Linked DNA regions of Drosophila melanogaster. The protein of the gene in region 1 binds, or shares a complex with, the protein of each later gene. Each region holds a gene or a part of one and is shown in the gene's direction. Other genes may lie near its edges.

Region 1 (7,290 bases):
TTAGTCGAGGGCTCCGCAGACGATTTTAATTTGGATTTCTTCTTCGATTTCTTTTCAGTAGCTTCCGAGGCGGGAGGTGTTTCTTCTAAATCTTTTTCATCATTGTCCTTACGCTTCTCTTCCTTGGATTTCTTTTTCTTCTTAGACGGAGCTTCGGCTGTTAAATCTATGGTAATTTCTTCCTGAATTTGAGTGGTTTCTTGACTGTCCTTAGATTTACTTTTATTTTTAGTTCTATTTTCATTCGAAGTATGCGATTCATTATTTCTGTGTAAGTCGTCATCATCGATTACAATTACTTCGTCGGATTTCTTAGACTTTTTCTTTTTTTTCGCAGCTGGTTCTTCTATCGAATCTTCTGCAATCTCCTTATTTTTATCTGACTTTCTTTTCTTTTTTTGGTCACTCTCTTCTGTTTGTATCGACACTTCTGCTGATTCCTCCTCTTTTTTGGACTTTTTCTTTTTGGAGGAAGTCCTTTCACTTTCCTCAGTGATTTCCGCCATCTCTACGCAGTTGTTGTCCGTCTTCTCGGTTTCATCGACAGACGATCGCTTAGATTTCTTCTTTTTCTTAAGTTTGGGAACGTCCTGCTCGATTTCTTCCACAGCAGTTGGTTGCTCGCTAGTCCTTTCTTTGCTTTTAACTAATTTTTCCTCAACAAAGTTGTTCTCCGACTGCTCAATTTCATCGAGAGACGATCCCTTCGATTTCTTCTTTTTCTTAAGCTTGGGAGCGTCCTGCTCGATTTCTTCCACAGCAGTGGGTTGCTCGTCAGTCCTTTCTTCGCTTTCAACTAATTTTTCTTCATCAAGGGATGATCGCTTTGATTTCTTCTTTTTCTTAGGCATGGAAGCAACCTGCTCTGGTTCTTCCTCTTTAGTTGGTGGCTCGTCTGCCCTCTCCTTGTCTTTCTTTTTTTTCTTTTTCTTGGAAGTCACTTCATCATTATCTGCTGAAATCTGTTCAAACTTTTCAGCATGACCATTGGTCTGTGCCTCGTTGTTGTCTTCAACTTGGGAGCCTTTCTTTAGTCTGTTTTTCATGGCTTCCATTTTCTGCTTGAAATAATCAGTGGTCGACAGGCCCGTGACAATTGTCTGCACGCCAGCGAAGTTGGGGTTTGGCTCCTCGGGTTGGACAGCCAGCACGGGTTCTGGATATCTCTCGACGTCCTCAGTTGCCTTCTTGCCGAATATATTGGCTAGATCCTTTTCGCTGTACAGAGCCAAGTCCTTGCCGCGTGTGAACTTCTTATAGTGGACGCGTGCCCTGCTCTGCTTCGACCGCTCCTCCAGCGACATTCCACTGGTGTTCTCCTTGAGTTTCTTCTTAGACGGCTCCTCCGGTTCAATGGCTTTGAAGCCAAAGCCCATAGGTCTGGCCTCCTCTTCGGACTCCGGCTCTTTGTCTATGCCGCCGCTATCTTCCCCATTTAGCGACTTAAGCAGCCCATTGAAGCCATCCTCGTGTACAGTCCACTGATCATCGCGCTGCTCGAAACCCAATCCTTCTGCGTCATTTTTAAAGCGAATGCGCACAAAATCCTTTTCGCCATTCAGATTGGCGCCCAGGCCACTGCCTTTCGTCCAGCCCATTTTCTCCAGCATTTTGGTACCGAAGCGATTTTCATCTGTTAAAGTTTAAGAATTTACGATTTACCAGTCACATTTGGAGTTTAATGCTCACCTTCATAGAGAGCCTTGCCGCGCGGACACAAGTTGTACTTTTTGCGCCGACGTGGTTCAGCCAGCATAGCCATTTTAGTCTATAATTATTTATAATCTACTTCGTTTTAAATGTAAATTGCGGATAACTAACAAAGATACAATTCGTAAATTGCGAACAACCCAACACGTGCTATCAAATATCGATAGCAAGTTTAAACAAGATATATCGATAGCGATTGTCGAAACAGCTGCTCAGCAGGCTTAGGGATGAGCGTTGGCTGTGCGCTGATAACAGGTGATTAACTATCGCTCATCTCTATTTGGGTGTCATTACTAAGTTTGTTGTTGTTGCTCTTAATTAGTTGTTATTATTTTCTGACTTGCGAGCTTGCAGTCGACTGATAATGGATATAAGCGCGGATGTGGATCAGATAATAGCCCAGGCTCCGGACTGGACCTTCGCGGGCGACTGTGCTCTGCTGGCGCTGATGAAGCGCATTTCCCAGGTTAAATTCACATACGTGCATAGATAACAAGCCAATTTGATAAAATTTTTGCAACAGAATCTGGAAGAAAGGGGCGAAAGGACCAGCCGCAATCTGCGAGACTTTGAGACGAGCGTGAAGCAAGTGGATATAGCGCTGAACAATGCCACTACCAGCCTGCGATCCCTGCAGTTTGGAAATCAGTTCGTGGAGTATCGGGTGGAGGAAGTGGATGACGCAGATTTGGCCATGCCCGAAGAGAAGAAAAAGAAGGTGCAATAAGCGATGGAATTTTGCAGGCTGCTGTGTTTACAGATCTTAATATGCTTGCAGCCAGAGCTGCCGCTCAAGAGTTCCGAGGAATTGGCAAAGGAGTTTCTGGAAAACAACCTTCGTATGTTCCGCAAAAACTACGAGCCGGTGACCATAGAAGTGCCCGATTCGGATGATGAGGATGGCCCCGTCCACTCAACGTAAGTGACTACACTACGATTCCGATCCATACTAACTCCACTTTCCACAGAACCGTATTCCGTGCTAAGAATCCCTATGATGCGATACCTTTGCCCTATATTATTGGTACCAAAGAGTGGCAGGAACACAAGTATGCCGGGTTGTATGACAGTAAGGAGAATAGTGAAGATGACAGATCCGAGGAATTCTCCTCAAGCTCATCGGACGAAAAGGAACCCGAGACCAAAAAAATAGCAACGCCAGCGAACAAATTAGAAGAACAGCATCTGTCTGACTCCTCTTCCCTAGCCTCGTTTGCCAGGGAACCGGCAATCGTGTCGCCAGTCATTAACCCTGCTGTTCAGGTAGCAGAGCCTGTCATCAGAACACAACCGCGTCCAATTATAAACAGTCAAAGGAATCCACATGAGAGGGACATGTTTGCTGCCCTCCGGCAATCGCCGCCTAGCGACGACCCGCCATCCACATCGTCATCGCCTACATCTTCACCAGCCTTTAGGAATCCATCAAGTCGCCTTCCAATCGTATCTACTGCATCGCTTAGTTCCAGTAGCAGTAGTCCTGCCCAACAACCTCCTCGACTCTTCGACGAAGCTGTTTCAACCCAAACTCCGAAGGAGGCTGAGATCAAGCCAAGCCAAACAAAGCGCATGCCAGTTAATCTTTTTAACGAAGATGAGTTTAAATCCTTCATGTCCGAAATCGTGGACAAAGTCCAGTCAAAAACACCCAGCAGCTCCGTCTCCCCAGCAACGACAATTTCAACAAAAGAACCACCCAAAACTAAAAAACCCGTGGAAGAATATCCAAAGCCAGGGCCGCCAAAGCAGATTGTTGAGCAGACAGTTCCAAAACGTGTAAACCTCTTCGACGACAGTCCTCCATTGAGTCCAACTCCGAGGTCAGAGCCTGTTTTTAATAATACTAAAGCAACGGGTGCAATACCAAAACGGAGTCCAGTTGTAGTGGCCAATAATGATGAAGATAACTCGCTTTTTGGTAGTTCTCCTGCCATGCCAAAGGAAAATCCTTCCAAAAAGCCACCTAAACCGGTAACCAAATCTCTATTCGATGATGACTTGGAGGACGACGACTTCTTGAGCTCCTTTACGCCCAAAGCAAAGCCACCAGAACAAAAACTGCTCTCAAAACCAAAGCCCTCCTTATTTGATGATGATGATTTGGATATCGATGATATATTTACGAAACCATCTGCTCAACCGAAAAAGCTATCTGAAAGAGTAGCTGGAAAGACAAGTTTGTTTGAAGACGATGATCAAGATGATGTCACTGATTTGTTTGGTTCGAAAAAGGCAAAGGTAATTCCAAAGGAGACGTCTTCGGGAGTTTCGCCCAACAAAAATGTTGAAACACCTGTAGCTTCAAAGAAAAGTCTCTTTGATGATATTGAAGATGAGGATTTGTTTGGAACCCCAAAGGCTAAGAACTTAATTAGAAGTGAACCAGATAATGATCCTGAAGCAGTTGGAGAAGATAAGAAACAAAGTGAGATTGCAGAACAGAAATCCAAGAATATAGAAACTGGAGAAAAGCAGCATCAAGTAATAGCAGAAAATGCATCTGTGCCTATTCTCAGAGATTCACCTCCTCCCATGGAAGTTACGGAACAAAAGTCTGATGATAAAGAATGGGAGGCGGTTAAGGATGATACATCAGCAGCAAATATTACCAAATCTAAAGATTTGTTCAGTGAAGACTTAACCGACGATGAGCTATTCTCTAGTACTTCAAATAATATGGCTGAGCCAAAAAGTGCTAATGAAACTAATGAATTTAACAAACCAATTGAAAAATATACTTCGCAAACTGAGGAAAATGTATCCCCAGTGAATCCTCCTACAAAACTATCTATCAAACCAACTGATTTGTTTAACGAAGATTTTAGCGATGATGATACATTTTTGAGTGCATCTATGTCCAAGAATGAGCCATTAGTTGGTACAGAAAACGAAGATATTAAAAAACCATCTGAGGTGCAGCTGGTGAAAGAGATTAAAGCAGAAGAATTGCCACAGCAACTGCCAGAGAACAAAATATATGAAATAACAGCTGTCGTTGAAAAGGATGAACTGGTGCCCGAAATGTTAAGTAAGCCTCAAATAGATGAACCCGTTTCGGAAACTCCACCACCAGACGATTATCAAAGCAACGTAGATCCCATTATATCAATGGTGGCTGATGTCACCAATAAAACATCAGTGGATACACTTACCCCGCGAAAGCCGGCGGATTTGGCTGCTGCGCAGCAAATCATGCAAAATTACTCGAATCTCTTTTCCGACGAACCGCCGGATGACAGTGAATTCTTTCAAACGCTTGGCAGCAGCGGTCTCAGCAGCCTAAGTGCCTCCAAAATCTTTGACAACGAGCACGACTTCTTCGAACCCGCTCTGCCAAACATTCCCAGTGCGACAAAGCCATCTCCAGTGACGCCGGGGGATCAACCTTCTGTGTCGTCTGACTACGGTGCCATGTGCTTGTTTAGTGATGTGCCACCCGAAGATAACGATCATGCAGGCGAAGAAGTGCAGAAGGAAGCTGAACCTCAGAAGGACGAACTAGCGTCAACCACCCGAATACACACAATCTTCTACGATGATTTCAGTGAGACTGCAAGGGCAGGAGCAGTGCAGCCAGCGCCCAAACGCTTCCCTTTCGATGACGAGCCACCGCCAGCTGATGAAACTGATCGTAGTGAAGTTAAGGAGACGCCTGAATTGCAGAAACCCACTTCGCCCGTTAAGAAGCTGAAAATGCCTAATATTAACATCAATGTACATGCCCTTCTTCCGGGTTCTGGTAGCGTGCCAAAGCTGATCAGGAAACAAGAATCATCGAGTTCCGAGAGAGATGAACCTCAAGCGACAGTTCAGACTGAGGCTGAGGCACCAAGTTCTGGACAAAACACTGTTTCTTCTGCAGACGGTGTCCTGCAGCATGTGAACAAATCTCGCGCTCGTGGACCTGCCAAAAGGCGACCATCTACCAGAAGAGGAAGAAAGGAAAACTATGCCAAAAGCTTATTGGATGCTGGGCAAAATGAAGGCCCAACAGCTTCGACTAGAGATAGCCCAGAAGTTGAACACTCTGAGCGAAGTTCCATTAAGGCACCCTCTCCTCAGTATGTTAAACCTGAAAAGCTGTTTTCAACCCCAGCCCAGCAAATTCAGCCGCAGCTCCAAAGACCGCCGCCATCTAACACTGGTGGCTCATTTCTGGACAGCCCCGATGAGGATGATTCCTTTTTTAATTCCGTCCCGACAAAAACAGTTGAGGGAAAGCAGGGTACTGATCCGCCGAAGTCATATCGCTCGTTTTTGGACAGCCCTGATGCAGATGATAAGCTTTTCAGTGATCTTGAAAATAACAAGGCGGGTATCAATGTAGTTCCAGTAGAAAAGAAGCCGCCAAAGATGGCAAACTCATTTTTGGCCAGCCCAGATGAAGATGATTTCCTATTTGATTCTGTAAAAACAAATGCAACTACTACCGCGCAAAAAGCATTTGCAGCAGAAATCATGAATGCTTTTCAAAAAGTCACAACTGCTCCTCCGAAACCATCGAATGCCAAGGAGGCTGCTAAACCCAAGTCACAGGCTGCGCCGAAACTGTTTGATGATAGCGACGACGATGATGATGATCTGTTTGCCAGAGCTCCTAGTATCCAAACCGCCAGCAAGCCCGTCCAAGCTAAACAGCCCCCCAAACCAGCGGCGACTTCTCTTTTCAGCAGCGATGATGAGGAAGCCGAAGTGCCTGTAAAGAGTGCTCCTGCTAAGAAGTTGCCAGTGAAACCAAGCAAAAGTCTCTTTAGCGACGACGACGACGATGATGACCTGTTCGGAGGAAGCTCCACGTCCAAAGCAGCTGCTGCCAAAAAGACCAAACCCGCGGCCAGGACAGCAAGTAAACCACCTGCCAGTAAAACCACCACGCCCACTGCTACCATTCCATCAAACTCCGGTGATAATCCATTGGCCGATCTTCTTGATTTCAAGTGAGAAAACAGTTACGCCTTTTATTACAAGTATGTACACTTTTTGATCTGTGGATGGTTAGACTGTCGATCAGAGTATTGTTATTCGTATTCCTATTAACTATAATAAACAATGAATGTCAATGTTCATTTGTGTTCGATTCTTAGAACTAGACTTGGGCAATTTTCATACAGTGCCTCTCTTATTGGGGGGGTATGCTTTTTGATATTTGTTTGTTTTAGAAATATCTATTTATATTTTTGAGTACGTCTGATATTTCGTGATATTTACTATTACGATTACTTTTATTTGCATATAAAATTATATCCCCATGGAGTCTCATATTTAGTACACTTTTATTTGCAAATAGGTCGTGTTATTCAGTAAAGCAAATAAAACTGAATGCAGACCCATTTAAGCTACAAATTGACTGGCGCATAAACGCGCTATACGATTCTCGCAGTGTAACGTTAGTCTACGAACTGAAACTGAGTTAGTTTGTGGCTCTTTGGTCGTTATTCCGAGGAATCTCATTCTAGATCGAGCATATCCTACAACTAGTGAGCTTAACCTAAACGCTGACTGATGATCGATTGGGATCCGGTTTCCAGAACCAAAAAAACGGACTCAAAGAGCCACATCGCGGTACTTCCGGTAATCGTC
Region 2 (4,274 bases), 8.4 Mb from region 1:
AAGTAAGTATACTATGTATATTTCATTAATGTATTAATAACTTAAAAAGGCGACGTGTGAGCTTTAACCGTAGCCCAAGTCGCAAATGGTGGTACTTACCAATTCCATATAGATAGATGGGCTTCGTGAACAGCAAGATATCCGAGCTCGAATAACTCGTCGTGGCAGTTCAAAATTCCAGGGCTGGATATCCCCTCGTCTTATGTGCTCTAATACACACTCGGCGTGTAGCAGGTTGTAAGAAATTCGCGTTTAAAATCAAATAACTTAGTGGGCGCTGCCATGTTTTAAAATTTATTCGATAACCGATCCCCGACTTAAAAGGAAAAGTGTGACCATCAATTTATAAAATTTAGCTTATATTTTGTAAAAAAATTGTTGCTTCTTTGTTTAGGAATTTTTAAGAAAAAGCAATTGTGTCGCAGAACAAAACGATGGCTAAAACAGTAATTTTAAAAAGGCATACAACACATATAAAATTATTTTTAAGGTTAAAGAAAGATTTTTATAACAGAATTAAAATCTTCTAATTTTAAAGCAATATTAGGCGAACCCAAATACATGCCATTGTACAATGTAGAATTTAATGTTAAATCATCTCTATGTTAAAATAACAAAATATAAACATTGTCAATTGGAAGAACGATTCAAAATAAGCAACTCGACCTAGATGAATGAAATAGTACAATACATGCCATTTTGTTGCTGAATGATAAGCTAAGATTTTGTTGAATTTTGGCTTAGTTGCATTCGGAAATATATTTACAACATTTTGAGCACACCCTCCAAGCACCCAATTTATAACCAGACTTTCTTATCTCAAACCCAAGCCAAAGATATTACATTGTATTGTGTGTATAAAATCCGAAGAAGGGGCATTTATTTCGCTAAAGATGCGCGTGGAATCGTGAACTACATGTAATCTCTTTCCGGTCCGGGGGCCACCTGCCGCTTTCTAGGATCCCACGATGATGTTGTTAATGGGAATGTGAATCAGCTTGACGAAGAAGCCGATGAAGCCCATGATGGCGAAGCCCACGGCGGTGGCGATGGCGATTTTCTGGAACTCCTTGCGGTCGGGTTTTGTGCAGCGCTTCACCAGGCGGATTGAGTCCTTGGCGAAGGCGCGTCCGGGTTCGGCGAATTTGACAACCTTGTCCATTTTTGATTTGTGAGTATTTAACTAAGAATTACCAATGAACTGAATTGATATTTATTTTGCTGCCGTGTCGCTTCTTGCAGTGTTACCAAGTTCCTCAGCTCAAAACATACTAAAAATTAACGCCTTTCCTTTAGTTGTTAATAAATTTTTTTTTTGGTTGAAATATAAGTGTATTTGAATTATTTTAATTTATTTTGAGTTTTTCTTTAAATTGAACCCATTCAATTATTACTTTGAAGCAAATCATTTAATGAACAGTTTTTAACAATTGATTTGGGCACACTACCCTACCCTAGCGTCGATGGAGGAACGGTGGATTTTTGAACATATGGACGTTTTCTATTTATTTATTTTTTCGTCATTTGGAAGTGAATTCCAAATTCCGTGCTCCGGAATGGCGTGCTTATAGGCTTACATTTGCCTAATTTAGTAATGATCCTGAATAAATGATCCCCTGATTAAAAAAGTTCTCCTAACAGTGGGATGAGTTTGAAAGGTATTTAAAAATGCCGCCTTCTCTAGTAGAAGTACTACAGCCGATCCGTGTCCTTAACTGCTTTATTAACAGTAATAGTTTTGGGAGACACCGCAGTTTATCTGAGGGTTAGTTTATCTGAAGGTTAGTTTGTTTCCTGGTGGTTTGTTTATCTGGTTAGCTTATCTGGGGTCTAGTTTACCTGAATGATAATTTACGTGGGAGTTAGTGTAACTGAGGGTTCAGTTGACTGGTGTTTCGTTTAGCTAGGGGTTAGTTAATCTGAGGTTTCGTAATTTTAAAAGAAATCCATTTAATTATTACTTTGAACCAAATCATTTTTAACATCTTGTAAAGCTTTTAGAGTTGGTCACACTACCATGAACAGCAGTAAAATTGCAAATAAATATGTAATTATTTGGCGATAGAAAAATGGAGGAGTCACCTTACCTGCACAGCCCCTACCAGGTGGCCATTATAGCCACCGACCTGCACCACGAGGATACCATAATCCAAGCAGCCCAGTCCCTGGACTGTCTACACAAAACCATAAACTCGATTTTCGAGCGAATCGATGCCCGCTTGGCGAGAAATGGTTCAAAGGTTGAGGACATAAACAATCGTGTGAAGCGCGCTCAGGCAAAAATCGATGCGCTCGTTGGCTCCAAGCGGGCCATCCAGATCTTTGCACCCGCCCGCTTTCCGGCCAGCGACGTCCTGGCACCGCTGCCAGCCACCTTTCCACAGGTGGCAGCCAATCCCCTAATGGAGCAGCAAGTGGACCAGCTCCCGCAAGGGACGTACAGCAGTCACAGTGCCGCGGACCAGAAGCCGGATGATGCGGACATCTTTTTCCATGTACGTGGCGATCGGGAGCAGGAATCGCCACTGGTCGCCGAACGGAAGATAACCAATCGGACCGCTGGCCTGGGCATCCTGCCTGCGGGTGGAGTGCGCTCCGTACCCTCGCTCATGCGATTCAATACCAATGAGTTCGCCTACGGCGAGGATCTGAATGCCTGGAAGCGATCCCTACCGCCGCAAAATGCTCGACGCGTTGCCAGTCAGTCCACTCAACTCACGGGAGAAAAGCAGCTCGCTCCGGCACCTCATTCGCTGGCCCACGGCACCACCAAACTGGCCACTCCAGCTGGGGACCTGCGCTACAATCCTGCTGCTTTGGCTGCACCCGCCATTGATGTTCCGCTGGACCTGCCCGACCTACCGGGCATAGCGAATGATCTGCAATATGAGCCAGTGGAGGAGCAAACACCAATAGCGCCTTCCCAGCAGTTCGGTGATTTACCAGAGCTGCCGGATTTGGGCCTCGAGGAGCAGGATATAATAGTGCAAGCCATCGCGGCACAGACGCACATTCCGGGACCGGTGCGTAGGAAGAGTGTGGGACAATGTCCTTCGCCAGTTACGGCGGCACCACCGCCTCCTCCTCCGCCACCACCGCCGCCTCCACCTCCTCCACCAGCGCAGACGAGCGCAATTCCATCACCGCCACCCTTTCCCACCAAAGGAGCTGTGAAACCGCTCTCCCCGTCGTTAGCAACACCTCTTAACATGCCGCAGCCGCCTCCAGCTACTGAAGATCCGCGATCTGAGCTTATGGCCGCCATAAGAAACGCCGGTGGAGTGCATGGCGGTCGTCTGCGGTCGCCTGCGGCTGCGCCGCTCGACGTGGTGGACAACAGTCGCTCCAAGGCGGGAGGCGCTGTCACGGGGGATTTGATGGCAGACCTGCATAACAAGCTAATGCTGCGACGCAAGGGAATTTCTGGGAGCCAGAATCCCGTGGAGGCCACTGCTGGCAATCCCCTGATGCAGCAGCTCTCCCGCGTCATACCGCCGCCGGTGCAGCCCCGCAAGGGATCTAAGTCGAGTGACGAACACTCCGAGGACGACGAGGATGGGTGGAACTAGTGAATATTTAGCTTTAGTACCGGTTTAAGTGCCTTGGCTGGCTTAAAGCACTAGCAACCTAGGTTCTCTAGCTTAAAGCATACAAATTTCTAAAACGAATTCCAAATTCTGTGCCCAAGCGAGCATGCCAAATTAGGTCAAAGTCAACCAGTTGAATAAAACTACATATTAGCAGAAATGTGTGTAATTTCTTATTGAGAACATTGGCTAACTTTAATTGATAAAATTACAGGACAATGAAACATTTTGTGATGCTAAATGAAATAAAACAATTCTTTATACTGACTAAAATAAACTCGATATTAAATTATAATAAAACACTAAATTCTAGTTTTAGATAACAGCTATTTTCCTATTTGAAATAAACGAATTTCCCTGTTAAATCCTTAACAGCGCTGTTGTGTTGCTCTCTGCCAGTGCTGTAAAATGCCGCAGTGGAATCACATTTCGGGTAAAAACAAATTGAAATATCCACCGAATTTAAATATTAAAGTTAGAGAAGCTGCCAAATATCTGGAGTTACAATCAGGGACAAGGACAAGGACTACTACACTAGAGGAGAGCTTTTACAAGCAATCCGGTGAAACCACATATAATGACAAGTCCGTCGCGGGATATAAACGATCTTTTTGACGATATTGTCCTGACCGAGGAGAAGGAGGCACGTTTGGGCTACGAGGAGGGACTGAAGGACGGCCAGGAGCA
Region 3 (6,388 bases), on another chromosome or scaffold:
TCCACTTGCAATATATTTTAGCCTCAACTTTAAATGCGTCGCGTGTCCCCTGTTGTTGTTTCTTTTTAGTTAGGCGGCTCTATTTAATTTCTATTTTTACATTTATTTACATAAATCCTAAATTCTAATCGTATTTGATTTTAAGCCTAATTTAAAGCTCGTTTATTTTTCCAATAAATTCTCTGTAAAACTTAAACCAAACCAATCCAAAAACAAAACAAAACCAGAGTAAACGAAGAGAATAAAATAATAGAGAGGAAAGTAAAAGAAGGTAAAAGAGAGCGCGCAGTCAGCGGGCGTTTGATTTGTAATTTGTAACATAATAATGTTTGCATCAACTGCATTGACGGCCTTATCTAAACGATATAAACATAATTATTAATATTTAATTATTTAGCTTAGTTTGTTAAACGAAAACGAACCATAATTCCTAGATTTTAAGTAAAAAGCAAGGGCGCGTGAAGAGAAATCGAAACCGAATTACAGATAAAGGTTTTTAAAACCAACTAGATCGAAACAAGTTCAGCAACAGCAAAACAAAAGAACACATCAAAAAAAGAACCGAAAAATATCCATTTAAACATCCATTGAATTAGGTTTAGTTGTTTAAAAAAGATGTAATTTTTAATTACCCATAATGTATAAACGGAAATCAATCGTTAGGCAAGACCACAACAAACCCAACAAATTGTAAATACATTCTAGGCTACGGTTTTTCTAATAGATAACTAGGTAAAAACGCAAACGTAATTAACAAATTATCGATGGCAAGGAGCGATGCGAGCGCAGACAACTTGGCACACCGAAAAAATATGTTTTTATTAGTGGCGCTCGTTCATCCATTAAGAATGGCGATTCATTAGGCTCCATAGATCCATAAATCCCCTAATCCAATCTGAACTACACACAAAATAGACAAATTTTATACAATTAGCTCGATAAATCTTGTAAAATAGAGTCCCGTAAAAAAATTATAACAAATAAATTGACAACAATTGATGTAATTCAGTAAACCTAAGCAAAAAGTGAAACCATTCTAAGCAAATTCTTTGTGTGTAAAAATTAATATGATAAACAAAATGCAGATGCAACCGTAAACAGCGCATAGTTTGGTAGGCATATAACTGAATATATATATATTATTATTATTATGTTTTAACATTAAGCAAAAAAATAAAAGAAAAAATTGAGAAAACTTCAACTGAGCACGGAGAATTATTAGCTGGGAATATGCAGAATTTATTTTAGTGCGCAGTGTTTGCTTATGCATATTATTATTTTATGTCGTATGGAATATGTAACGGTATCTCAGTTAATTAGCTAGTTAAATCATTACAATTTATGTAGTTGAATTAATTAATTTTATTAATATTTTTATATTCATTTATTATGTTAATTAATCCTACTGAAACTTTGTGTAGCTCCCATAGAATGAAAATCTAACACAAAATAAATAGAACCAAATTCACGTTTGGATTCAACCAGAAACACATAACGAATTGGCAATTTTCTTAATGTCGTATTACAACTTGCTTTCTTTTTTAAATTTTAAAATTGAAATCGTGAATCTAAAGTCGGAAACCATTAGATCTTCCATCATTATTGCACTTTAATGCATCGAATAGAGTTATTAAGCCAATATTATAATTTTATTATTCAATACAATAGTAGTTTCATATCTCATTTTAATAAATTTAATAATTGTTATTAAATTATGTACCTCATAGGTTGTTATCATCAGTTTCTCACTTCAAATTTATGCGCCAACATTTCGAAGTTCATGGTAACTCTATAACAACAAAATAGTGTGACCGGACTTATGTAAGATTACTGCAGATAATACACTAGTGCAAAAAAGAATTGATATGACTAAATGAATAGACAATATAAACAAACAATAACATAATTCGTGGACTGATAAAAAGTATGTACAGCTTTAATTAATAATGTGATTATACAAATTAAGCTTTCTCCAGAGAGGCATTTGTTAGAATCACAGAAATCAAGGAAATGCATAATGAGTTTTCTGGATGACAATAATGCCTGTGGGCAGAATCTGCTGAATATAGTGTCGGTGGGTAATTCTATAATAGCAGAGATCCTGCGCCTCAAGGACTACGTGCCCAGTATTTATAGGTAACATAGATTAAAAACCTGCAATTAATGAATAATTGGTGACCACTCCTCCCCAGATTGGACAACAAAGCTGATAAGGCGAAATATGGCGAGCTTATTCTGGATTTCAGCTACTTCAAGATAGCCGAAGATCACGAGAGGAGGATCGAACAAAGTCCGGTAATTTGATGTTAATATACCCGAGACCACACCGTATTAAACACCCTGATTTCCTTCAGGAACTGACCGAACTCGATGATGAGGCACGTGCCCAGCTTCCGCTAATCACACGATTTTACCTGGCCTTCCAGAGCATCCATCACTATGCCTCCGATCTCCAGCAATATATCGAGGAATTGAACACTGGCTACTATATCCAGCAGACGCTGGAGACGGTACTTCAGGAGGAGGAGGGCCGCCAACTGCTCTGCGAATCCCTGTATCTCTTTGGTGTGATTCTCCTCATGGTCGATTTTCACATTCCGGGGGATGTGAGAGAACGTCTGCTGATCGCCTACTATCGGTATAGTGGAGGAGATGCAACGCCTAGCGGAGACGAGAGTAATATCCATGATGTTTGTCTCCTGCTCCGATCTACGGGCTATGTTCATCCGTCGATTGCCGCTAAAGTGCTCGGTTTGGGTGGCAAACAGGCAGGCGCTAGAGCTGCTAGCCTTGTGGTTCCCCGATACCCGGAGGCCTACTTCTCTCGCTTCCGTTTCGATGAGAATTTCGTGGATCTAGTGGTGGCTCGTCTGCGGTGCGATGATATATACAACCAACTGAACCTGTATCCACATCCTGCCCATCGCTCCACGGCTCTGTCTACTCAGGCGGCCATGCTGTATGTGTGCTTGTATTTCTGCCCGCAAGTTCTTCATTCCCAAGGCTCACAGATGCGCGAAATTGTGGACAAGTTCTTTTGCGACAACTGGACCATATCCGTGTACATGGGCATGACAGTGAATCTGGTGGATGCCTGGTTGGATTTCAAAGCCGCTCGATCTGCTATTGAAAATGTGATAAGTCCACCGGCAATCAAAGCACTCTGTCAGCAGCAAAAGGAGCAATTGGGCAAGATCACTCAAAAAACCCAGGAGATTGTTCGTGAAGGAGTTCTAAATGACAACTTTGTTTTGGAGCACGCCAACAAAATCATACACCTGATGAGGCAATCCAATGTCCTGCTCCGCTGGTTTTGCCTGCACACCTCAAGGGAAGTTTTCATCTTTGCTCACACAGCTACTTTGACGGGTCAAGTGCAAAAATGTGTGCTCCACGAACTACAATTCAATCGGAATACGCTGTATAACTTACTGCTTAACTGCAGCCAAATGGAGCTGAGCGTGAGGGAGTTCCTGGCAGAGATTCAGCAGACTAAGGAGGAGCGCTGGACGAAAAGCAGAGAGGAGGCCATGCAAAGGCTCAATGAGTTGAGCGAAGCCTTTGCCGGCTCCAGGCCTTTGTCCAAGATTGAACAGAATCCTCAGTTGCAGCAATGGTTTGGCGAAGTTGCTGGACGTCTCCAGAAACTGGAATTGAGCAGGCCCCAAAAGTCCGGAAGGCTGATTATTCAGGTGATGCAAGCACTGGACGATGTGCAGGAGTATCACAACCTTCATTCCAACATGCTGGTGAAGCAGCAACTACAGGAGACGCGAGACATGCTCAATCAAATGGCACAGCTAATAAACCTGAAGGAAGACATTGAGATTCACATCCAGATGATCACTGACTTCAGCTATGCTTGGCATCTACTGCAGTTTGACTTCACTCCTCCCATGCAGGAACACATCAAAAGACAGCCACAGGCGGTAATAGGTATACGAGCGGTCTTTCTCAAGTTGGCCAGCACCCTGGAGGTGCCGCTGATGCGGATCAATCAGGCCAGAAGCGAGGATCTGGTCTCTGTGTCAAACTATTACAGCACCGAGCTAGCAAACTTCCTGCGCCGCGTTCTGCAAATTGTTCCAGAGACCATGTTCAGTATTCTGGCTAAGATCATCTATCTCCTTACGAATGTTATCAAGGAGTTTCCCACTAAAGTGGAGAAGGAGCGTCTAAAGGACTATGCCCAGTTTGAGGAGCGGGCCAAGGTGGCTCAGCTTACAAACTCCATTGCTGTTTTTACGAAGGGAATTCTTATGATGAAAACAACTCTAGTGGGAGTAATCGAGCTGGATCCTAAACAACTATTGGAGGATGGGATACGCAAGGAGCTTGTAAATCATCTGGCAAATGCCTACAATCTGGGCCTAATATTTACGCCCGAGAAAGGCAAGACTCCTGTGCAGCTTCTTCAACAAAAACTGCAAGCTCTGGCGAAAACAATAGAGGGATATCGAAGATCCTTCGAATATATAGAGGACTACTTAAGAGTTCAGGGACTTCGAATCCTGCTGGAGGAATCGCAACGCATTATTAACTACAATGTGGAGAAGGAATGCAATGCCTTCCTCCGCAACAAAGTGCAGGAATTTCAATCGGAGCACCAGAGCCAGATCATACCCATTCCCAACTTTCCACCGCTGTTGGGAGATCCGTCTAACAACTTCATTGGCCGTCTGGCCCACGAAATTCTGCGGTGCACAGATCCCAAGCAAACTATTTTTCTGGATCTAAAAAGCACTTGGTATGAGAAGAAGGCTCCTCACCAGGAAGTTCTTGCCGGCTCTGGATTCTTTGAGATACTTAGAGAAGCCTTGGCTCCGGCAGGAATGGTGGGATTGGAGCGCCTCTACGCTCACATGTTGGCTGATGAGTTAAAGCGCAACTTGGAACGGTTACAGCGTAACCTGACCTCGGATCGTATGTGGGTGGATACGTTAGCGGCACTGACTCGGGAATTGGAGGCCCGGGACTTCCCAACTCCGGAGGTGTCCAAGCAGCCTTTGAAGTATTATCAAGCTTACACCCAACGATGGCTGAAAGTGTGGCCCACGCTGTTGGATTGGGTTTTGTGCATTGGACAGAAGCAGCTGCTCCGCAGAGAAATTGCAGGAGAGCTAAGCTTTAGCAGTAAATGTGATGCCAAGTTGCTGGAGAACACGGCGGACACCCTGAACAAGTAAGTCAAACTATAACATCCTAAAAATATTTATATATTTGCAATCTCTTCCGCAAACAGAGCCCTTTTACTAGAACTGTCTCTCAGCAAGGATCTCTGTGATGAAAAGGGTGTGGTCATGTTGACAGAACTGCAGGAAACCCTGCTCTATACGGGAAACTTTGAGCCCCTAGAGCAAGTCTTCCTTATCACAAAGAACACCCATAACATGGCCCTCTTTATGTTTCTTTTCACCATTGCCCATTTGGGTCGTATGCAGCATTCCACGATTACCGATTGTCTGTTGCCAAAATCAGCCAAAGATAACATTGATAATGTGCCTTTTATTGTGGGTCTAGTAACGATCTTGCAGCAGTTCCACAAGAATGTCAAGATGCTGTATATATCCTACATGAGTCAGTACGTGGTGACTGTATCGGAGGCTCAGTTACTGTAAGTACTTTAGTTACAAGATAATCCACGAATATCAGATGACATACACTTTTCTTTATTAGGGATAAAGAAATCCTGGGTCCCGAGGTGGTCACCGCCCTGCACTTTCTTCTAGCCTTTATACGCATTGCTCGTTTGCCACTCGGAGTTCTGGAGCAGCGCATTCCCAACATAATACTTAGCGAGTACGAGTATTTATCCACACTGCTAAAATGAAAACTAACCAACAGGTTTGGGCTACACAAACTTTAATAAATCCGAAACATAACAAGGAAATGCCTCGCTGAGGTACAAGAGGAGATTGTAGTTGGATGGGTTGGTAATCTCAGTGTTCCTTCGCTGACAGGAACTCTTTACGTGATAACCGTTGGAGCGTTGCGTCCAGTGAACTTGGGCAGCTGAGAGATCTCCAGGGCGATGTCGATCAAGGGTTTCAGCATCACGCTGGCCTGGCCCAAAACATTCTCCTTCTCATAGGAATCAATGTACAAGCTGAAAAGGAACAATTCATCTATTATTGAAAAGAATTGTTTGATATTAAATCTCATCGTGACTCACCGAACGGTTGCTCCCGAGCTTCCAGTTCCACTGAGGCGCACCACAATGCGGCTGCCATCCTCGAACACAATGCGCAGACCCTGTTTCGTGGCCACCGACTTGTCGACAGGATCTGTGTAGCTGAAGTTGTCGGCCTCCTTGACCTTGTAGGTTTTTCCGCCGCTGGAATAGCTCTTGCCGACGAACTCCGGAGCAGTTATGGTCTTCTCCATGGTG
Region 4 (6,196 bases), on another chromosome or scaffold:
GAACGCCTTGATCCAGATCCACTGCGAGATCGTCTAGATACAGAGCCGCTTCGCGAACGTCGAGAACCGCTCCGCGATGCATTTGAGCGTCTAGAACCGGACCTACTGCGAGATCGCTTAGATCCACTGCGAGAGCGACGTGATCCACTGCGCGATTGCTTAGACCCACTGCGGGAGCGGCGCGATCCACCACGGGATTGCTTAGACCCACTGCGGGATCGCCTAGAGCCACTGCGGGAGCGACGTGATCCACTGCGGGATCGCTTAGACCCACTGCGTGAGCGGTGCGATTGCTTAGATCCACTGCGGGAACGCCTAGAGCCGCTGCGGGATTGTCTAGAACCGCTGCGGGATCGTCTAGAGCCGCTGCGCGAACGTCTGGATCCAGCAGGCGATCCCGGTGCTGCGCCAGAATGACGGGAGCCACTGCGGGACGGAGCGGAGCCGCTCCGCGACCGCCGGGAACCGTTTAGCGACTGCTTGGAGCCACTGCGCGAACGCCGGCCACTGGCTGCCGAGTGCACCGATCCGCTGCGGGACTTATGGGATCCGCTTCTGGAGCGGGATGCGCTCTTCCTGGTAGCACTGCGACTGCGACTACGCGAGCGATCGGCGATGGCCTCGGCATTATCATCACCATTCTTGGGTGCCGGCGAAGGAGACTTGCTCTTGCTCTTCTCTGGCAATACTGGCTCGAAATTGGTTGCGTCGGGATTGGTATCTTGAATTTCCTTTAGCTCCGCTTTTGCGGCCGTGTCTGTTGTGGTCTTCTCGAGTGGCTCGGATAAGGTCTCGGCTTCGTCGCCGCCGGCCTTTTCTGAAAATTAAGTGTATAAAATGGTTAAACAAGAATTTCCATTAAGAATCAATTTGGTAATCAACCTATTTCAGACGTTTCCATGCCGTACTAATTATTCCTATAAATTTTTAGTAGTACACAACCAAATTTGCCTAGTCAGTTGGTCAAACTGCTTTCAGGCTCAAATTAAATAATTCCTGCAATGACTTATAAAATACGACGCGATTTTATTGCTCGGCATTTGTAAGGCCAGTGGAACGAATGGAAACGGAACATCAACGCTTGTGTGTACACATACACTAATGCATACACGCTGTTTAGGGCCCTTATACACGACAAGCCTTTTGTTATCGATAACAAAACTTCTATGATAAGACATCCGAAATAACTTATTCTACAAAACATTTAAGTCCAAAACTTAAATATCAAAATTAAATTTGTTTATGGACAAAAGTCTTGTTTTAAAAATAGACTGCGACGTACAGGTATTCGTGTCAAGGAGTACGATTTTAATCCTTGGAAATCGATAACCAAACTTATAGAAATTGATTTAATTTGTTAAGTCAGAATGAAAACTAGGTATTGCATATATTCATAGTCATTACGATTATGTATTTTTACCGCTGTTTCTTGAATCAAAAATTTATATTGCTTCTTATATAAATAAAATGAATTTATTATCTGAGGATTATTTTTGCTTATAAATTGTATAAATAAATCATTTATCGGAATAGACATGCTACCAACTTTTCCATTCAATTAATCGCGATTTTCGATTTTACACAGTTTTTGGGTTTTAACTACGCTTGTTTAAACAAAAGATATCGAGAATTTAGCGTTATCGAATCGGAATCCACCCACTTGAAATGCCCCATCCCTAAATTTGCCATGAGAAAACCAAAACAATAATATTTTTAAAATTGGTAGACATGAAGGAAGAGCAAAGCTCTATGTGTATGAAAACGCCGATATCAGCTATGGAATACTATTCTTATCTATATATTTTCTATTTCAGCTATGTTTGCCGAGGATATCCTACGGGATTACGGCTCCTTCATATCGGAGCACGATGGGAAATTGAAATTATTGCGAGATAAAGTGCCTAATCGGGATGTTTCCGAGTCTGCACAGTGTGTATATATGTCGCCCGTGGTCGAGGTAAACTTTATGGGCAACGATTCCATGGCTCCGGACAGAAGCTTTGAGGAATCGGAGCTGGTGGCCAATAAACCGCTGACAACTCTGGCGAATCTGTGCAATCAGTGCAGAAATCTGTCCAGGAAGGCAAAACGGTTCCAGCTGGCATTCCTTTTCAGCGACTTTCGATTAGATGATACGCTCCCGCCACATACCCACACATCCGAGGGTTCCGCCGGCTTGGAGGGATCCTTGGTCCGCATGAGCAGCTCCATGGACTTCTTCTGCCAGGTTTACTTCTTGCTCAATCGCATGATTGTGATACTCCAAAACCTTTGGAGACAAATAGCCGCATCTGTTAGCGTCCCAATGGACATCAATGAAGTCCACATATTCGTAAGTCAACGATCGAACTCACATCTCAAGTGTAGTAACCAATTGAAGTCGAAACTTGCAGGCTGTCTTTGATGCAATGAGTGAGTTACTGGAACACATAGTGGTATTCAATGAACTGGCGAACCAATCGAAGATATCCACCATGTGGGCGCTGTACAAGAAGTGGCTGATGAACCTATCCAATAGCCAATCAGCGAACTTGGAGCTCAATGGCCTTAGTACATCGCTAATGGATATAGAGAATCTGATCACCAAGGATTTCTTTCGGGTAAGTCAAAGAAAAACGTGAATGGTAACCGCCCTTTCATGGATATTTCCAAACAGATTCTACTGGACAATTTGATGGAATTGAAGAAGCAATTTGGCCTGAATAGTGTTAGCCCCATCACCCAGCATTCCAATGCCTATATTCGTAGGCAGCTTCTCGACGTCGACGCGAATCCGAGTAACGAACTTAAAAACTATGAGGATCCCAAGCACATTATTCGACTTACCACCTTCGTGGTCGTCGTCCATGAGCTAGGCATCCAGATGGAGGGAAAACTGGTCAAGAATGTGATCGATTTGGTGGCCAGGCATAAGCAGGTGCCTCTCAACCGAAGCGTTTTCTGGTCGCCTTCCGGATTCCTCTCTCTACATGCCAAAACCCTGATGAAGTCTTCAGCCCGATCGCAAGATGGACAAGGCCCAAAAGTTCATAGCACAGTATTGGAGAAGTTTAGGCTTAGCGATCAGAGGACCTGTCGCCAATTGGGCGTCCAACTATCGCTGTGGTCCATCCAAATGCAAAGGGTATTCGATGTGGGAGTCTTTGGACACCTCAAGACTTTTCTGCAGTTGATTCTCAATGGACACTCCTATGCCGATCAAGTTAACCTGCTGGCAGTCGCGCTGATCAATCGGCACGTGGCTCTGATGACGCCCATGACCAGAAACGATTGGATCGTCGTCTCTCGGTTGCTGCAGTACCTGAAGGTCATTCAGAAGACCTTTGAGTCAAACCAAATCAATTTCGTGCGCTTTATCAGCTCACTGATACAATGGCAGAAGCAAAAGGTCATACACCTGCTGCACACAACGAAAAAGAAGATAGTTGTCCTCAAGTTGCTGCAGCGCAAGATCAACTTTTTGGCCACAATAAAGCTGGCCGAGAAGTCCATTATGGGATTTCCGAGCAAGCAACGTTTGACTTTCGTAAATCTAGCCCTCGGGGAGTTTCTAGATAATCGCCTCCTGCCCGCCGACAATCAAAAGTTGATCAAATCGATCCTACATCGTGTTAATAGTATCAGCGACATTATGCGGAATATTGGTGGACAACTTAACACGTCGGAGTCCTCGAGTCTGGTATATAATCACTGGTTTCTGGACACTTCGGTGCTTAAGGAGTACACCGAACTCCAACGCAATCCCTACTCCTTGCAGGTTGGTTTCTTACTCAGTTTCTGGCAAAGCAACTTCATGTTTATGCCATTTATCATCGGCAGAACCTCGTGTCGGTGAGCCATCATCTGGACAAGATCATGGCCATGTTCAGGGGTTCAAGGTGTCCCAAGCAATCAGCGAATGACTTGATCATTGAGTTTTTGAGCAACCACCTGGAGTTCTTTCTGCGCGTGGAGGCCCTTTCGCATCTCTTCCAGAGCCAGGATCAACCATTCCAGCAAAGTGCCTTAGACTATCGTCTCTGCATCAATGCAGTTGCAGTTGAAAACGATGGTGATTACAATATTATAAAAGGTAAGATATCGGTTACAAAACTGAGAGATCATGCCATTCATTAACATATTTTAGATCATCTTGAGAACTATTTCACTGCCACGTTCTACAACTTAACGACAATCGCTCCGCACGACTGGAAATCGTATGAAAAGATGCGTCATTTGGCCAACAAGGTGCTGCAGCTGCAACCCATCGATGACCACCTGCCCAATCAGATAATTGACCAGGTAACCAATTGAATCATCAATAAGCAATCTCTTCTATTAACCAAACAATTCTTTCCCACTTTCAAGGGCATAGACGTGCTGCAGATCATGCGGAATATACACACTTTCGCCTCCTCGTATGCCTACAACATGAACCTGCAGGTGTTCGTGGAGACGAACAGCAGGAGCAAGCACCTCGACATCATTGGCACCCGGCACGTGGCCAACTCGGTGCAGACGCACGGCACCGGTATCATCAACACCACCGTCAACTTTATATACCAGTTTTTGCGCCAAAAGTTTTACACCTTCTCCACCTTCCTCCACGACGAGCAGATCAAGTCGCGGCTGCTCAAGGAGCTGCGTTTTCACACGGAGCACAAGCACAGCAAGTCCTATCAGTCGTATCCCTATGAGCGCGCCGATAGTTTTCTTAAGAAGATCAGAAGGCTAGGCTGCTCCAGCAATGGCGAGACGTATATGGATCTTTTCAGGAAGGTTATCACACAAGTCGGTAGGTGGTTAAAGACCATAATTCAAGAAAATGCTTAAAATATAAACGTAAATATTGCTTTTAGGCAACGCTGTTGGCTATGTGCGCCTCCTGCAGGCTGGAAGCAAGAATGCCAACTTCCGGAATCGCTCGTATAAAACCAGATTCGACAGCAACTTCAGTTGCGGGGGCTCCAAAGTGCACGAGGCTACGGAGGGTTCCATCAGGGAGTACGAGAAGAGCCTGGGTCACATGAAGGAGTGCTATTCCGATAGCACAAATTACTTCAAGGTGCAGTCTACGATCTTAACAAGTTAGGTAACCAGCTTAACCCATGGATTTATATTGCAGCTTCTTCTGCAAGGCTTTCAGCCCTTTTTGTGCAATCCACATAACCACCACCTGCGAACCTTCTACCTCATCACACCGGCGCTCATCATGAACTACATTGACTACCGGGTCAAGCAGAAGCTAAAGATCTACAAAAAGGACCAGACCAAGATCTCGCTGTTCGAGGATGGCTTCGCCATCGGCCTGGTCTACATCCTCAACATGCTGAACCAGCAGACGGAGTTCCATGAGCTGGGCTGGAGCCAGACGATCACGCAGCACCTGAACGCGGAGCGCTCCAAGGTGCGCGACATTTTGGCGGGCCAGCAGCGGACGGCGCCGGAGCAGCTGGACGAGAAGCTTCACCAGACAGTGGCGATAACCGAACGACATGTGAACGCCTACGAGCATGAATACAATCTATTGTACGCCACCTTGAGTAGCTCCGAAATATTCTTCCAATAAAATATGTCCATTTACCAAAACCAAAGATCCCAGCAGTGACAACAAACAATTGAGTAGTTGGTTGCCGTTTATTCAGATTTATTAAGACGAAAATACAATTCCGATTCCGGTACATAGCGTAGAACGTTGGTATATATATATATATATGCAATTAGATAATCAGCATTACTAATACTATTATTAGTAGTAAGTAAGCCAACATCAAAAGATCAAACATTTTTCTAAGCCCCTCTCGACTCTTGTCGTCTCATTGTTTTTCTTCTTTGTTTTTTTTTTTGTGAATGGAAATGTTAAAGTTACAGATTTAATGCATATTATATAGCCAATTGAACGCTTTCTGACATTGGTGGGCACTAATTCTATTCACTTTTGGCCCCCACATACAATTGATTGGCCAAAGGAAACCCAACATGTCTATTGAAAATATGTTGGTTTGTTATGTATTTTTCTCGTAATATTACAGTACAGTAATTGGTAAAAAAAAATGTTTTGGAGAAAATGCAAATGGTTTTCGTCTTAACAGATTTTTCTTCTTGCAATGTTGCTGTTGCTTTTGCATCGCACCTTCTTAAAGAGAACCAGAGTTAGCCACAATGATCTTCTTGGAGGTCTTGCCAGACTGCGATCCATAAGATTCGATCTTCTTGA

The links.
Region 2: FAM21 (region 1) and wash share a complex: the UniProt entries of both Drosophila melanogaster proteins name them as parts of the WASH complex.
Region 3: FAM21 (region 1) and Strump share a complex: the UniProt entries of both Drosophila melanogaster proteins name them as parts of the WASH complex.
Region 4: FAM21 (region 1) and SWIP share a complex: the UniProt entries of both Drosophila melanogaster proteins name them as parts of the WASH complex.

Annotation. Positions count from the first base shown.
Region 1 is NT_033778.4:20,621,542-20,628,831, forward strand, and holds FAM21 (family with sequence similarity 21), read left to right. Parts: upstream 1-2,005; 5' UTR 2,006-2,074; coding exon 2,075-2,176; intron 2,177-2,233; coding exon 2,234-2,428; intron 2,429-2,488; coding exon 2,489-2,628; intron 2,629-2,678; coding exon 2,679-6,651; 3' UTR 6,652-6,774; downstream 6,775-7,290. Other genes in the region: CG11180 (uncharacterized protein), read right to left, coding at 1-1,633, 1,690-1,762; Rcd6 (reduction in Cnn dots 6), read right to left, coding at 7,255-7,290. UniProt on the Drosophila melanogaster protein: Acts at least in part as component of the WASH complex which may regulate wash nucleation-promoting factor (NPF) activity and is required for its membrane targeting during endosomal sorting.
Region 2 is NT_033778.4:12,178,632-12,182,905, forward strand, and holds wash (washout), read left to right. Parts: upstream 1-1,861; 5' UTR 1,862-1,909; intron 1,910-1,991; exon of another isoform or gene 1,992-1,994; 5' UTR 1,995-2,069; coding exon 2,070-3,569; 3' UTR 3,570-3,742; downstream 3,743-4,274. Other genes in the region: CG8860 (uncharacterized protein), read right to left, coding at 956-1,162; CG13175 (uncharacterized protein), read left to right, coding at 4,165-4,274. UniProt on the Drosophila melanogaster protein: Acts as a nucleation-promoting factor by activating the Arp2/3 complex to induce actin polymerization. Participates in both linear- and branched-actin networks.
Region 3 is NT_037436.4:16,120,170-16,126,557, forward strand, and holds Strump (strumpellin), read left to right. Parts: upstream 1-1,832; 5' UTR 1,833-1,924; exon of another isoform or gene 1,925-1,976; 5' UTR 1,977-2,017; coding exon 2,018-2,136; intron 2,137-2,192; coding exon 2,193-2,295; intron 2,296-2,354; coding exon 2,355-5,182; intron 5,183-5,242; coding exon 5,243-5,614; intron 5,615-5,676; coding exon 5,677-5,830; 3' UTR 5,831-5,883; downstream 5,884-6,388. Other genes in the region: Pgm1 (phosphoglucose mutase 1), read right to left, coding at 5,968-6,106, 6,173-6,388. UniProt on the Drosophila melanogaster protein: Acts at least in part as component of the WASH complex which may regulate wash nucleation-promoting factor (NPF) activity and is required for its membrane targeting during endosomal sorting.
Region 4 is NC_004354.4:16,312,066-16,318,261, forward strand, and holds SWIP (strumpellin and WASH-interacting protein), read left to right. Parts: upstream 1-1,643; 5' UTR 1,644-1,753; intron 1,754-1,814; 5' UTR 1,815-1,816; coding exon 1,817-2,332; intron 2,333-2,393; coding exon 2,394-2,600; intron 2,601-2,656; coding exon 2,657-3,757; intron 3,758-3,819; coding exon 3,820-4,072; intron 4,073-4,126; coding exon 4,127-4,281; intron 4,282-4,347; coding exon 4,348-4,774; intron 4,775-4,838; coding exon 4,839-5,044; intron 5,045-5,104; coding exon 5,105-5,548; 3' UTR 5,549-5,685; downstream 5,686-6,196. Other genes in the region: CG9915 (uncharacterized protein), read right to left, coding at 1-817, 883-901; Cyp1 (cyclophilin 1), read right to left, coding at 6,117-6,196. UniProt on the Drosophila melanogaster protein: Acts at least in part as component of the WASH complex which may regulate wash nucleation-promoting factor (NPF) activity and is required for its membrane targeting during endosomal sorting.